Linked DNA regions of Xenopus tropicalis. The protein of the gene in region 1 purifies or fractionates together with the protein of each later gene. This does not show direct contact. Links are inferred from orthologs where the notes say so. Each region holds a gene or a part of one and is shown in the gene's direction. Other genes may lie near its edges.

Region 1 (3,197 bases):
CTGCATTCTTGTTACGACTAAACCTGCTGCTTTTTGGTAGCTCTGAACTACATTTTGCAGCATCCCCTAAAATCCTGAAGCTTTTAAATTCTGTTGGGAGCTGTAGTTTGCAAAACTTGAAAAGCAAGCGGTTGCTATTTGTTTTTTTCATACATAAAGCCTTTATTAAAGTGGACTTTACTTTAAACATGTTTACTTACAGAAGTGTTTAAAGCACACCCTACATGTCACTAGTATGTATCCTTTGGTATCAGCAGAAACACTGTAGGTTACCTGCATTTGGGATACATAAGTGATAAATAGTGATAATTGTTAATGGCACTTTTGGGACCATAAGTAAACCAGGCGATCCATTCCACTAGTCCAGCTCACATACTGGAGCTCACTTTCCACAGGAAGGCTGACCTGTGGAAAGGTATTTAATTGTATGAAGAATGTGTGTAAGATCTCTCAGTGCAGGGACACAAAGCAGGAAACCTACCTGTCTGTGTTAGGAACTCCCAGAGGGGCTTGGGGGTGCTGCCTGCCACGGCAAGGAGCGGAGGGAGCCATGGCCAAGCAACTGAGAGTTACCGAGGAACTGCGAAAGTTAGGAAGCTGAGTAAGAAGTATTGTGAGTACTGGGGTGATCCCAACCATTAGTGTTTTCTTACTGGTAGTCCACAAGTGGCCCAGTGTAGTGAGCGAACTCGTCAAATGTGTGAAGGTAAAGCCCAGAGGCAGGATTTATTTTTATGATTTGTGGGTTTTATGCTGAAATGGTCACCCCTGTGTTAAAGTGAAGAAAGTGTCTGTTGTGGATCCCACAAGTTTACACTAAGAGAGATTTATGCAGGATGACCTGTGACTGTGTATTGCCAGGCAAAAAATGCTCCTGTAGCCAATCCGCCACGAGTAAAGTATTTCAGGTACCCTTGCTTAAAGGAGACATATCCTATAAAAATTATGAATGTACCAGGGAATTATACTCCTCTAGATATAGAAGGATTGTGCTTAAAAAAAGTTGTGTTTCTGACCGATTTATTGAGAAATTCCACAAAAACCCCACTAGCCCTGCCCATCTGTTCCACTTCCTGCTGGCTGAATTCTCTGGATGAGCTGGGGAGCCGGCGGCCCTCCGTACCCTGCACTGTAGGATAGGAACCAATCAGCAGCTAGGCTGACCTGATAGGGAACTAAAGCCTGTCTTTGCTTGTGTGAGTGCAGGGCTGTGATTGGCTCTCCCCCTCCTACTGTGCTTCTGGCAGGGACCGTTAGGACACGCCCACTCTTCATTTCAAACTCGGACAGAGAAGTGAGAGGATCTATAGGGAGCTCCAATAAAGGGGCCATTGTTACAGATAGGGTTAATTTTTAGCCCAAAGTGAAACCAGCACCGGATATTATTCATAATTGCCTACAAAATTACCTTTTTTTCCCATTTATCCAATATGTCTACTTTAAGTCCAGCTTATTTAAAGGTGTCTCTGGAAGTTAGAGAGACCTAAGCAAGGCTAGGTCTACAACAACTATTAACTAATGAAAAGTTATAAACATACTGTATATTTGTGTGTACGTTATATAGAATACAGATTATGGTATAGGATTTCTAAAGTGTAGATAATAATTGCATTCCTGCTGCTCAGAGATGTGTTGCAGCCAATGCATTCTGTAGCATGCTTTTAAACAGATGCTGGTCATATATAATATATGAAGATTTCAGATGGACCTTTTATGCACTTTTATGATAGATGGTCATTCTGTTTTCTTGTAAAAAAAAAAAAAAACTTTCATGTCTGGAAAATGTTTGACATTCTAGATAATACCTAATTCATGCTGCTTTGAGCAGTCACACCATTTTGTCTAAATATATATTAGTGATATCTGGCTGTAAGTGTTTATGTTCTTAAATGCTCTAGTCTTTCGTTATTTTGTGATTATAGTTTTTTTTTCTTGCTTACTTTTCTCTTTATAAATGTCATCCTTTAGGCATTGGTTCGACATGTACAACTGAAAGGCTATCCCAACGAACGCTTTGAGCTCCTCACAAACTTTCCCCGGCGCAAGCTGTCCCACTTGGACTATGACATTACGTTACAAGAAGCTGGTTTGTGTCCACAAGAAACTGTCTTTGTACAAGAAAGGAATTAGCATCTTCTATGCTGTGTCATCACCCTACCTACTGTCACTTTCCTCTTCTAATAAGATTCTGCCTCTCAGTCTGTTTTCTCCCCTCATCAGTTGTTCATGTATGAAAAATCCTCCCATTTTCCTTGCTCATTGTGGGAACAAAGAGGAGTATTTAACACTGTGACTCAGGAGAGGCAAGATCATTGCACTGTGAGGGAGAAAATCTCCTCCTTCTCATGATAATTTTAACAGCATTTCATCTATTCCTCCATCAGTCCACGGGGACTCAGAGCACATTCCTCCTTCAATATACACCCAGGCTCTGATCTCCTTTTTTAGGGAGCTCCGGATGACTCTTTGGATCTCTTATAAGGCATATCCAGAGTGTGAAAAGGCAAGAACGGTGATGGCAGTTGTGATTGACTATAAGTTATTTATTACCCTTAATTTGGAACCAATAAGGTGAATTTTTTTTTTAAATATCCTTAACACACTTGGTAGCCAAGCATTATGGGATTAGTCTCTCCTGTATTGAGAGGTTGGTTGGAAAATCTGTGTTTTAAAGTAAAGCTTGCTATGAAACATTTATCCTCTCTCCATTTGGTGTGTGCATGCTTATCTGGGAATTTCTCTGGAAAGTATCAAGTTTCAAGCATCAGTGCGTAGTGCTGTATTTAATTACAAGTTCCTTTCCAGCTTATGAATACAACAACACTGAATGATGATCTGCATTGAAATTGTTCAAATATTTCTAGTATAAATAAATCTAAAGCAACTGGACTTGTTAAGTAATCATTGAAGACGTTTCACTACTCATCCGAGCAGCTTCTTCAGTTGAACTGAAGAAGCTGCTTGGATGAGTAGTGAAACGTCTTCAATGATTACTTAACTAGTCCAGTTGCTTTAGATTTATTTATACTAGATATACCATGACCTGTATGAATGAAAATCTTCATAGTCATATGTTCAAGAATTATTTCTCTTTAAGTCCGCTACAATTTCTCTCATGACTTCCAAGTGAGAAGCCAGTATACCTCTATGTATAAAATAATGCAGTCATTACAGCAAGTGTTGAAAATGTTCAGGGC
Region 2 (4,272 bases), on another chromosome or scaffold:
TGGACTAAACTTCTAAGGTGCATTTGACCAAAACCAAAAAATATGACTACGTAGTTATGGTAAAAATAAAAGTTAAATCATAGTATCCACCATTACACAGATGCACTATTTATATGTAGCAAATGCAAAACTTTCACAAGAATTTTACACTATAAAATGTTTTCATTTGGGCAAAAGGCTGGAGATGGAGGAATAATAGAACCAACTTGGGGCAAGTGTTCAGATTTCAGAAATGAAATATTTATCCTTCTTTCTAGGTTTTTCTATCATTGGTAACTTATACTCACTAGTACACTTTACATTGTTTTAGTAACAGTGTTTTAGTAGCAGACCCTAAATGGTTCAAGAGCTGCAACACTGTTGGTACCATGCACATTATCTGGTGGGAAATAAAATAAGTTGTATTTACCGGTACATGGGTCCTCTCCGACTTCATCCCTGATATTTACCTGGCCAACATATTAGGCAGTGTAGAAAAAAAAAAAAACCCATTGGGAAGAGCACCACATACGTATTGATGTGGACCTCTCCCAACAGCCTGCATTAGCAGCCATTATGATCCAATCATTGGTCGAAGGCCTAACAATCAGTGTGGTGCTGTGACATATGGGACAAAGATCCACTCATTTGGCAAACTAGGTGGTATGACCAGCTTTATATGTGGGGATGAAGTGTTTATACTGTCGGATCTGTGCAAGGGGCACTGTGAGTTTAATGGAAACCAGATATGCAGAAATCTCCCATTGTCAATTTTATGCAAAATCTTTTTTTTTAATTACATTTTCTCTGTAATAAAACAGTATCTTGTACTTTACAGCAACTAAGCTGCATAAAAACTTGTTAGTGATAAAGCAATCCTATTGGCTTTATTTCATAGTTACATGTTGTTTTAAGTAGGTATGGTGATTTAAATTGTTGAAAAAAAACTTAATTTTGGTTTGTTCTTACCTGAAGTACCTTACAGGCGCAGAGAGCATCAACATCAGGTGCAACAAGGAGAAGAACGCGCTGGAAATCAGAGAAGAGACAGTGAGTGGTGTCATATCATTTATTTGGGAAAAAAAATCCTTTATCCCGGTTACCCTTCTCACCTCGGTAACGATCACGTCGTAAAACTCTTTACGGAGATCACTCACAAACATCTCGACAAGTTGACGGCTGCCCTCGAAACTGGCGCCAAAATCCCTTAGAGCAGCGGTGGCCAATCAAACAGCCCGTTTCGTCGTGACATACACCAACCCCGCCCAATCCGTGAAGGCTCAGCGCAAGATAAACCCCGCCTCTGCGTCCTACAGTTTAGCAGCCAATTGGTCGCTTCCCGATATCTGACAGCGGTCTATTAACTTCCGCTTTTAGCGTGTTGCTTCTTGGGATTCGTAGTTTCTCTTGTTCCGATCGTCTGATTCGCAATTATATTTACTTCCGGGAAGGACGGTGACTAAGATAGTGTTAGGTCCGCCGGGATAATAAGAGAAAGCCGGTAACAAAATGGTAAGATCTGTCTTCCACATTTGTGATAGCGTCATGTCATGTATACCTATATATCATCATAAAACACCATTTACCTGCCAGGTTTTATGGAGGCTGAACAGTGACTGAGGGGTTAGTTTTTTACTGCTATATGCATCTTGGATGGGAAAGAAGAGTTGTTGTATGTAAGATTTTTTTTACATGAAAAATAACAGTATGATTTTAATCTGAATGTATGTTTCCGTAATAGTTTTTGTTTTTACAGATCACTTAAATAACACTAAAAGGGTAAAAACAAAGTAAAAAAGAATTTCTCAAATTATCACGATGTATCTTTATGTTGCTTAATGAAATAACAGCTCCAAAATCTCACTAATTCCATTCTCTTTTAGTTTTCTTTCAACATGTTTGACCACCCCATACCCCGGGTTTTCCAAAACCGCTTCTCTACTCAGTACCGTTGCTACTCCGTTTCCATGTTGGCGGGTCCCAATGACCGATCTGATGTGGAGAAAGGAGGGAAAAGTAAGTAATATGTGACTAAGAGCTGTACTGTAATTTTTTCAAGATAAAATTATTTAAACATAGGTAATAATATCTAATAATCATAAACTAGACCACTTTTTTGTGGGCCACAAGCAGACTGGGATTTAATATATGCCCTTGCATTTCAAGGCCCCTGCTAGTTCACTAAATAGTGCTTGTCTATGGCATCTAACAGCAGTCCTTTTGGAATTTGCCAGAATCCACACATTGCCAGTCCAGGCCTGGTCACAGGTCATGAGATCTCTGTTATCATCATGTACCATCATGCAAACTGTACAGGATGTGGAAAGTGGACACAATGGTAATTCTTGGCCACACATATCCAGTACAGGTATGTGATCCGTTATCCGGAAACCTGTTATCCAGAAAGCTCTAAATTACGGCAAGGCCCATAGGCTGCATTTTAATTAAATAATTAAAATTTAAGAAAATAATTTCCTTTTTCTCTGTAATAAATCAGTACTTGTACTAAATCCCAACTAGGATATAATCAAACCTTATTAGAGACAAAACAATCCTATTTGGTATATTATGTTTAAATACATTTTGAGCAGACTTAAGGCATGAAGATCCAAATTACACAATGACCGCTTGTACAGGAAAAACCCCTGGTCCTGAGCATTAAGTATTATAGGTTCTATATTATATAAGAGGTTTTCAATCAATTGTTCTGTAGAAAGAATGAATGGCATTTGACCCATGTTTATTATGCTGTGTAAAAACAGCACCATTGTACTCTGCTGTGTAGATGTGTGCCTTTTTACCCTATTCTTTTGGTTGTGCCATATACTTCATATAACTTGTAGTAGTGTTTCTGAAGCAAACATACACTTTTTACCAGTGCAGGGTAATAGTATATTATATTTACATACAGATAAAACCTTTTCTTGTTTTTTGTTTTACTGGTCCTTTCATGAGTGAGGAAAAACAAAAATTCTAGTCAAAGGAGATAATTCAGTCTTTAAAAAGTGGAGCACTTTCAGTGATTCTTTATTCATTTTTGAAAAAGGGTCACTGGAAGTAATGTGTATAGTGTATGGTGTGTCACAGACTATACTACTGTAACTTTTCTTGTTCTTCTTTTTTTCAGTTATCATGCCTCCATCTGCTTTAGATCAACTCAGTAAGTATGCTCTGCCTGGATTACTTGATTAAATCTTAGGCTAACGCCACATGTAGCATATGGAGCGTATTTTCGGCAAGCCAAAAAACACTTGCTAAGAATACGCACCATACGCTAAAAAATGCCCCTACCTGTGCCTGCACCCTAATGAATGAAATACGATACGGTGCAGGAACATGTAGCCGAAAATATGAAGTCTTGGAGCGTATTCCATTCATTCGGGTGCAGGCACAAGGTAGGCCAAATCGACAGTAGCAGGGCGTATTCTCGGCAAACGTTTTTCAGCTTGCCAAAAATACGCCCGTGTGGCATTAGCCTTAGTGCATCAGAGGGCCCAAACACTTCTGCCTCAGCATTACCAGGGAAATATGCCTGCTGCATCGCTACACTTATGCTGTTTGTAATTCTGGCATAATAATGGCATATACCAGAGTCCGTTGGGTTTTACTTACCCTTTGACTGAGCAAAGAAGTGACAGGGGCACACATTCTAAACCGGCTGATAAAGGTGTACATGAAAATGTCACAATTTTCCAAAGCTGATCTGTCTACAGCAGGTAGTATTGTGAAAAACAGTGTGACTGCTTACCGTGGATTTTCTGTGGATGCATTCTCTTTGATATGTTAACATTACTTTTTCCAAATGAAATACAAATCTTTAAAAGCTGATGCTAGAGAACCTGTGTATTTGTTTCAAAATCAGATTAGTTTTATTGTAAAAATAGAGCTACTGTGGCACAAAAGGTAACAGCGCAGTTACCAATTTATCATATTTATTTTCTACAGGTCGTTTGAACATTACTTACCCCATGCTCTTCAAGCTGACCAATAAAAATTCTGACAGGATGACACATTGCGGTGTTCTTGAATTTGTTGCAGATGAAGGCATATGTTACTTGCCTCATTGGGTAAGGAATATTTACAAAACTTACACATTACACAGGTGCATACAATCCCACACCTGACCCAGAATTGTACCCCAAAAACCTTTTAAGGAATGTACACTTTACCTGTATGTTTTCAAATGTGAGAGAGACCCAGAGTATCTGGAGGAACCCCACACAAATGAGAAGTGAGATTCAAACTGGGGACACTAGCATGGCAAGGCAGCACAGCTAACCACTAAGCCACCGT
Region 3 (4,202 bases), on another chromosome or scaffold:
GTCAGTTTTCTGTATTAGGGTTCCTGAGTGATTTACCTCACTATTAAACTTGGAAATTAAGAAAAAAAAATGATTGCTGGTCACTATCTGCACTTCTCCGATGTATGATTTAATGGGCCAGCCTCTGACAGGTTATGCCTTTACCTCTCTTGTGATCCAATCTATAAATAAGTTGCTAGCTTTGTACACATTGGAATTTTGGAAGGCTACTGTTTGTGCTGGTAGCCATGTTGTTTGCAATACATTTATGATAAATAATAACCAGAAGAAATCCATTCCATTTGAAGCAGCGTAGATGGTTTTTCACTGAGGGCAGTGAGGTTGTGGAATGCCCTTCCTAGTGATGTGGTAATGGCAGATTCTGTTAATGCCTTTAAGAGGGGCCTGGATGAGTTCTTGAACAAGCATAGTACCCAAGGCTATTGTGATACTAATATCTACAGTTAGTATTAATGTTTGTATATATAGTTTATGTATGTGTTATGGTAAGTATAGGTTGTGTGTGCTGGGTTTACTTGGAAGAGTTGAACTTGATGGACTCTGGTCTTTTTTCAACACGATGTAACTATCAAAATACTGGGATGAAATTACATATACTTATATATATATATATATATATATATATATATATATAATTTCTTGTGTGCTAACATCTAAACACCTAAGCATATGCTGATAGAGTATGGTGTTAAAAACTGTATTTTACAAAAAAAAAAGCAACCAATATATACAGCTAAATGGTTGGGCAGTTGTGTTGGGCACAGATAAACTGATTATTATTTCAGTCTTGGAGTGGGGCAAGTCCCACTAGTGCATGTTGGAGCTGATTGAATAATAATAATATTTAGCAAAGAGAGAGGCTGCAATTTGCTTGATGACTGGGTGCTACTGGGAAATAGGCATGCACATAACTACCTCATGTAAAACTTAGTCCTTAGTGTGAGAGATGTATGTCATATATAGATAACAGATCATCAAGTATAAGAAACAAGCTGCCGGGCTGTACTAATTGACTTTAAATAGTGAAACTTACCAAGTAAGTATCACAGACGTTCACACAATCTGGTAACCTTACCATAAAATACACATGATACCTTTACGTGACGTAAGCCATGTAACTCATTCAATCATATATTATACAGATTTCCTTACCAGAGAATAAATCCATTCTACTGCTCTCTTGCTTATTAAAATCATGGTTACTGGAGGTCGTTCTATCGCAGTAAACTATCATTCAAGCAATGATTCCTTGCTCCGCCTCTACGTTACTATAGCAACACCACCACATCCTGTACGAGCTAAGCGTAAGCTCGACAACATCCGTTTCAGGCAGACCTCCTGGCTGCTAGGGGGCGCTAGCTATGTAGAATATAGAGTGAACTTTCCCTGTCCCAGAATGCCTCCCTTCTCTGACTTTACAGTGTACCGGGCGGGGTGAGAGGGTAGAATTGTGTAACACGAATGGTATCAATGAAAGCATTGCCTGGAAGTCCGGGGACTATATCGCGGGTTTGAGACCCGGCTTACGGTCACGCCATGAGGGAGAAGAGAACCAAGCGGCGGAGGCCGGGAGCGAGGCAAGAAGCGAATGACACGGTAAGATATGTTTGTGTATAAACTGGAGTGACTGCGTCCCCGAACTATACCCGCTGTCATAATCGGCCTTATAGGTTTCATCGGTGGCTCGGTTTTTCTTTACCTTCCAGTAGTTGTATTAATATTTTACCGGGACCCTTGGTGTAATAGTAATAATAGTGTTCTTTCCAACACCGCCACCACACTGTATACTTCTGCTTCTGTATTTATATGGCAGCTGTCCCCTTGCTTATCTAGGGCTGTCTCGCTAACACACAATTGCTTGCTGACACCAGAGATTCAGTTGGGTTTGTATATGTTTGGCTCCTATGTAGGCTGGGCTTTTCATCTCTGCAGAGGGACGTGCAGGAGAAAGTACTTTCTGGGTACCCCTGTAGGTTCATAACACCAGTGGGAAAACTTAATAAGGTTGTATGTATGTATGTATATATATCTTTATTTCTAAAGTGCTTATTATGTACGCAGCGCTGTACAGTAGAATACATTAATACAAACAGGAGGTTAATAAGATAATAGATAAATACAAAGTATAATAATAAATACAGATAAATACAGCTGCAATAAGTTAAGAGTCGAGGACACAAGAGGATGGAGGTCCCTGCCCCGTAGAGCTTACAATCTATATGGGAGGGTAACTAACAGACACAAATAGGCAAATATAAGTGCTGTAGGTCACAGTAGGTTATTCACCTTTACATTCATTTTTAATGTTATAGAACACCCCAGCGTACAGCCACAGCATATTTATTTTAAACCTGAAACTCCATGGTTTCCATTACTTTAGTGGCTGGTTAAAATAGTCTTATTGATCCTAATGTGTCTATACATTCATAGATCCCTACTACAACCGAATGCAGGCTAAACCATTGAAAGCCCATTTTTTTGCTGAATTAGAATTCATCTGTACGTCTGTTCCTTTTTTACCTGTCTGTATATTATGTCTCCAACAAATTCTCACCTACAGTGTTACCTTTTAGTATGTTATGCAGGTATGGGACCCATTATCCAGAGTGCTTTGGGCCTGGGGTTTTCTGGATAAGGGGTCCTTTCATAATTCAGATCCCCTACCTTAAGTCTGCTAATAAAATTATTAAAACAGTAATTAAACCCAGTAGGATTGCTCCAAAAAGGATTAATTATATCTTAGTTGGGATCAAGTACAAGGTACTGTTTTATTATTACAGAGAAAAAGGAAATCATTTTTTAAAAATGTTAATGATTTGATTAAAATGAAACCTATGGCAGAAGGCCTTTCTGTAATTCGGAACTTTCAGGATAAGGGGTTTCCAGATAAGAGGTACAATACCTGTAGAATGGCCAGTTCTTAGTAACTTTTCAATTCGTCTTCATTTTTCATTTTGTATAGCTTTTAAATGTTTTGCCTTTTTTCTTCTGACTCTTTCTAGCTTTCAAAAGTGGGTCACTGTCCCCCGCAGCCAAAAAGCATTTTGTGAGGCTACAACTTATTGGTGTTTTTTATTACGTATCTTCCTATTCGTGCCTCTCCTATTCATCTCTGTGTCTCAATAATATTACTGCCTTGTTGTAGGGTCATTTAGACCCTAGCAACTAGATAGGTGCTAAAATTCCAAACTGGAGAGCTGCTGAACAAAAAATGGAATAACCGAAAAACCACAGTTAACAAAAAAAAAAATGAAGACTAGTTGCAAATTGTTGAAATTTCTATGTCTTAAAGTTACAGGATAAATTATGGAAATATTTCACGAACCACAATTCATAAAAAAAAATTTAGGTTATCATGCTAAAAGTTAATTTTAAGTTGAACTACCCCTTAAGATACAGTGCAAAGAGATACCGTATAATAATATCATTTAGCGTCACGAAGAGTAGGGATGCATTATCACATTTATTTAGCTTTTGCATATAATGTATAAGTTTACCAAATAAGACTAGTACTGTAAAATTTAATATGTGTTTTTCTTCTTTTTTAGATGATGGCATCATCCTCTAACAATTATTCACTAGATGGCAGCTTTTCACCCCAGGCTGGCACAAGCAAACTACAAAACCATGGTACTGCAACAGATGCTTCCCCAGACTCAAAGTGTCCAATATGTTTGGACAGGTTTGATAATGTGTCACATCTTGATCGATGTCTGCACAGATTTTGTTTCCGTTGCATTCAAGAATGGGCAAAAAACAAAGCTGAATGCCCTCTATGCAAACAGCCCTTTTACTCCATTTTCCATAGTGTCAAAGCAGAGGATGATTTTAAAGAATATGTCTTGAGGCCCACAATGAATGGTTCATTTGCCAGTCCTGATGGACATAGATTTCGTTATCGCACAACTATGAGTAGAGACAATCATGTAGCCATTCGGACATTAAGGTCTTCAAGCACTCAAAGGACATTTTCACCTCCTGACAATGGAATTTTATTTGAAGGGTTTTCAAATCAGAATTTACATCAAAGAGGTGAAGAAATCCACCAGATGATAAGAAGGCTAGCCTCCAGACGACAAGCCAGTGCAGAGGGTCGTTCTATGAGGCAAATTCAAGAGCAAGAACTCATTAACTTCAGAAGAGCTTTGTACCGGTCTGGAATACGTGTGAGAAACATTCAGGATGGCGGACGTTATAGAGAT

Evidence for each region. The genes of interacting proteins can lie anywhere in the genome.
Region 2: the proteins of ubxn7 (region 1) and ufd1 purify together in Homo sapiens (affinity purification with mass spectrometry; 3 studies listed by BioGRID and IntAct, with this or other methods). This does not show direct contact. The link is inferred for Xenopus tropicalis from reciprocal best matches to the Homo sapiens genes UBXN7 and UFD1.
Region 3: the proteins of ubxn7 (region 1) and topors purify together in Homo sapiens (affinity purification with mass spectrometry; 4 studies listed by BioGRID and IntAct, with this or other methods). This does not show direct contact. The link is inferred for Xenopus tropicalis from reciprocal best matches to the Homo sapiens genes UBXN7 and TOPORS.

Annotation. Positions count from the first base shown.
Region 1 is NC_030681.2:129,655,995-129,659,191, forward strand, and holds the end of ubxn7 (UBX domain-containing protein 7), read left to right. Parts: intron 1-1,968; coding exon 1,969-2,130; 3' UTR 2,131-2,697; downstream 2,698-3,197. UniProt on the Homo sapiens protein: Ubiquitin-binding adapter that links a subset of NEDD8-associated cullin ring ligases (CRLs) to the segregase VCP/p97, to regulate turnover of their ubiquitination substrates.
Region 2 is NC_030677.2:154,228,754-154,233,025, reverse strand, and holds the start of ufd1 (ubiquitin fusion degradation protein 1 homolog), read left to right. Parts: upstream 1-1,472; 5' UTR 1,473-1,488; coding exon 1,489-1,491; intron 1,492-1,862; coding exon 1,863-1,995; intron 1,996-3,106; coding exon 3,107-3,139; intron 3,140-3,924; coding exon 3,925-4,046; intron 4,047-4,272. Other genes in the region: cdc45 (cell division control protein 45 homolog), read right to left, coding at 949-1,008, 1,092-1,142. UniProt on the Homo sapiens protein: Essential component of the ubiquitin-dependent proteolytic pathway which degrades ubiquitin fusion proteins.
Region 3 is NC_030677.2:115,119,616-115,123,817, reverse strand, and holds the start of topors (E3 ubiquitin-protein ligase Topors), read left to right. Parts: upstream 1-1,402; 5' UTR 1,403-1,536; coding exon 1,537-1,596; intron 1,597-3,548; coding exon 3,549-4,202. Other genes in the region: smim27 (small integral membrane protein 27), read right to left, coding at 1,153-1,197. UniProt on the Homo sapiens protein: Functions as an E3 ubiquitin-protein ligase and as an E3 SUMO1-protein ligase. Probable tumor suppressor involved in cell growth, cell proliferation and apoptosis that regulates p53/TP53 stability through ubiquitin-dependent degradation.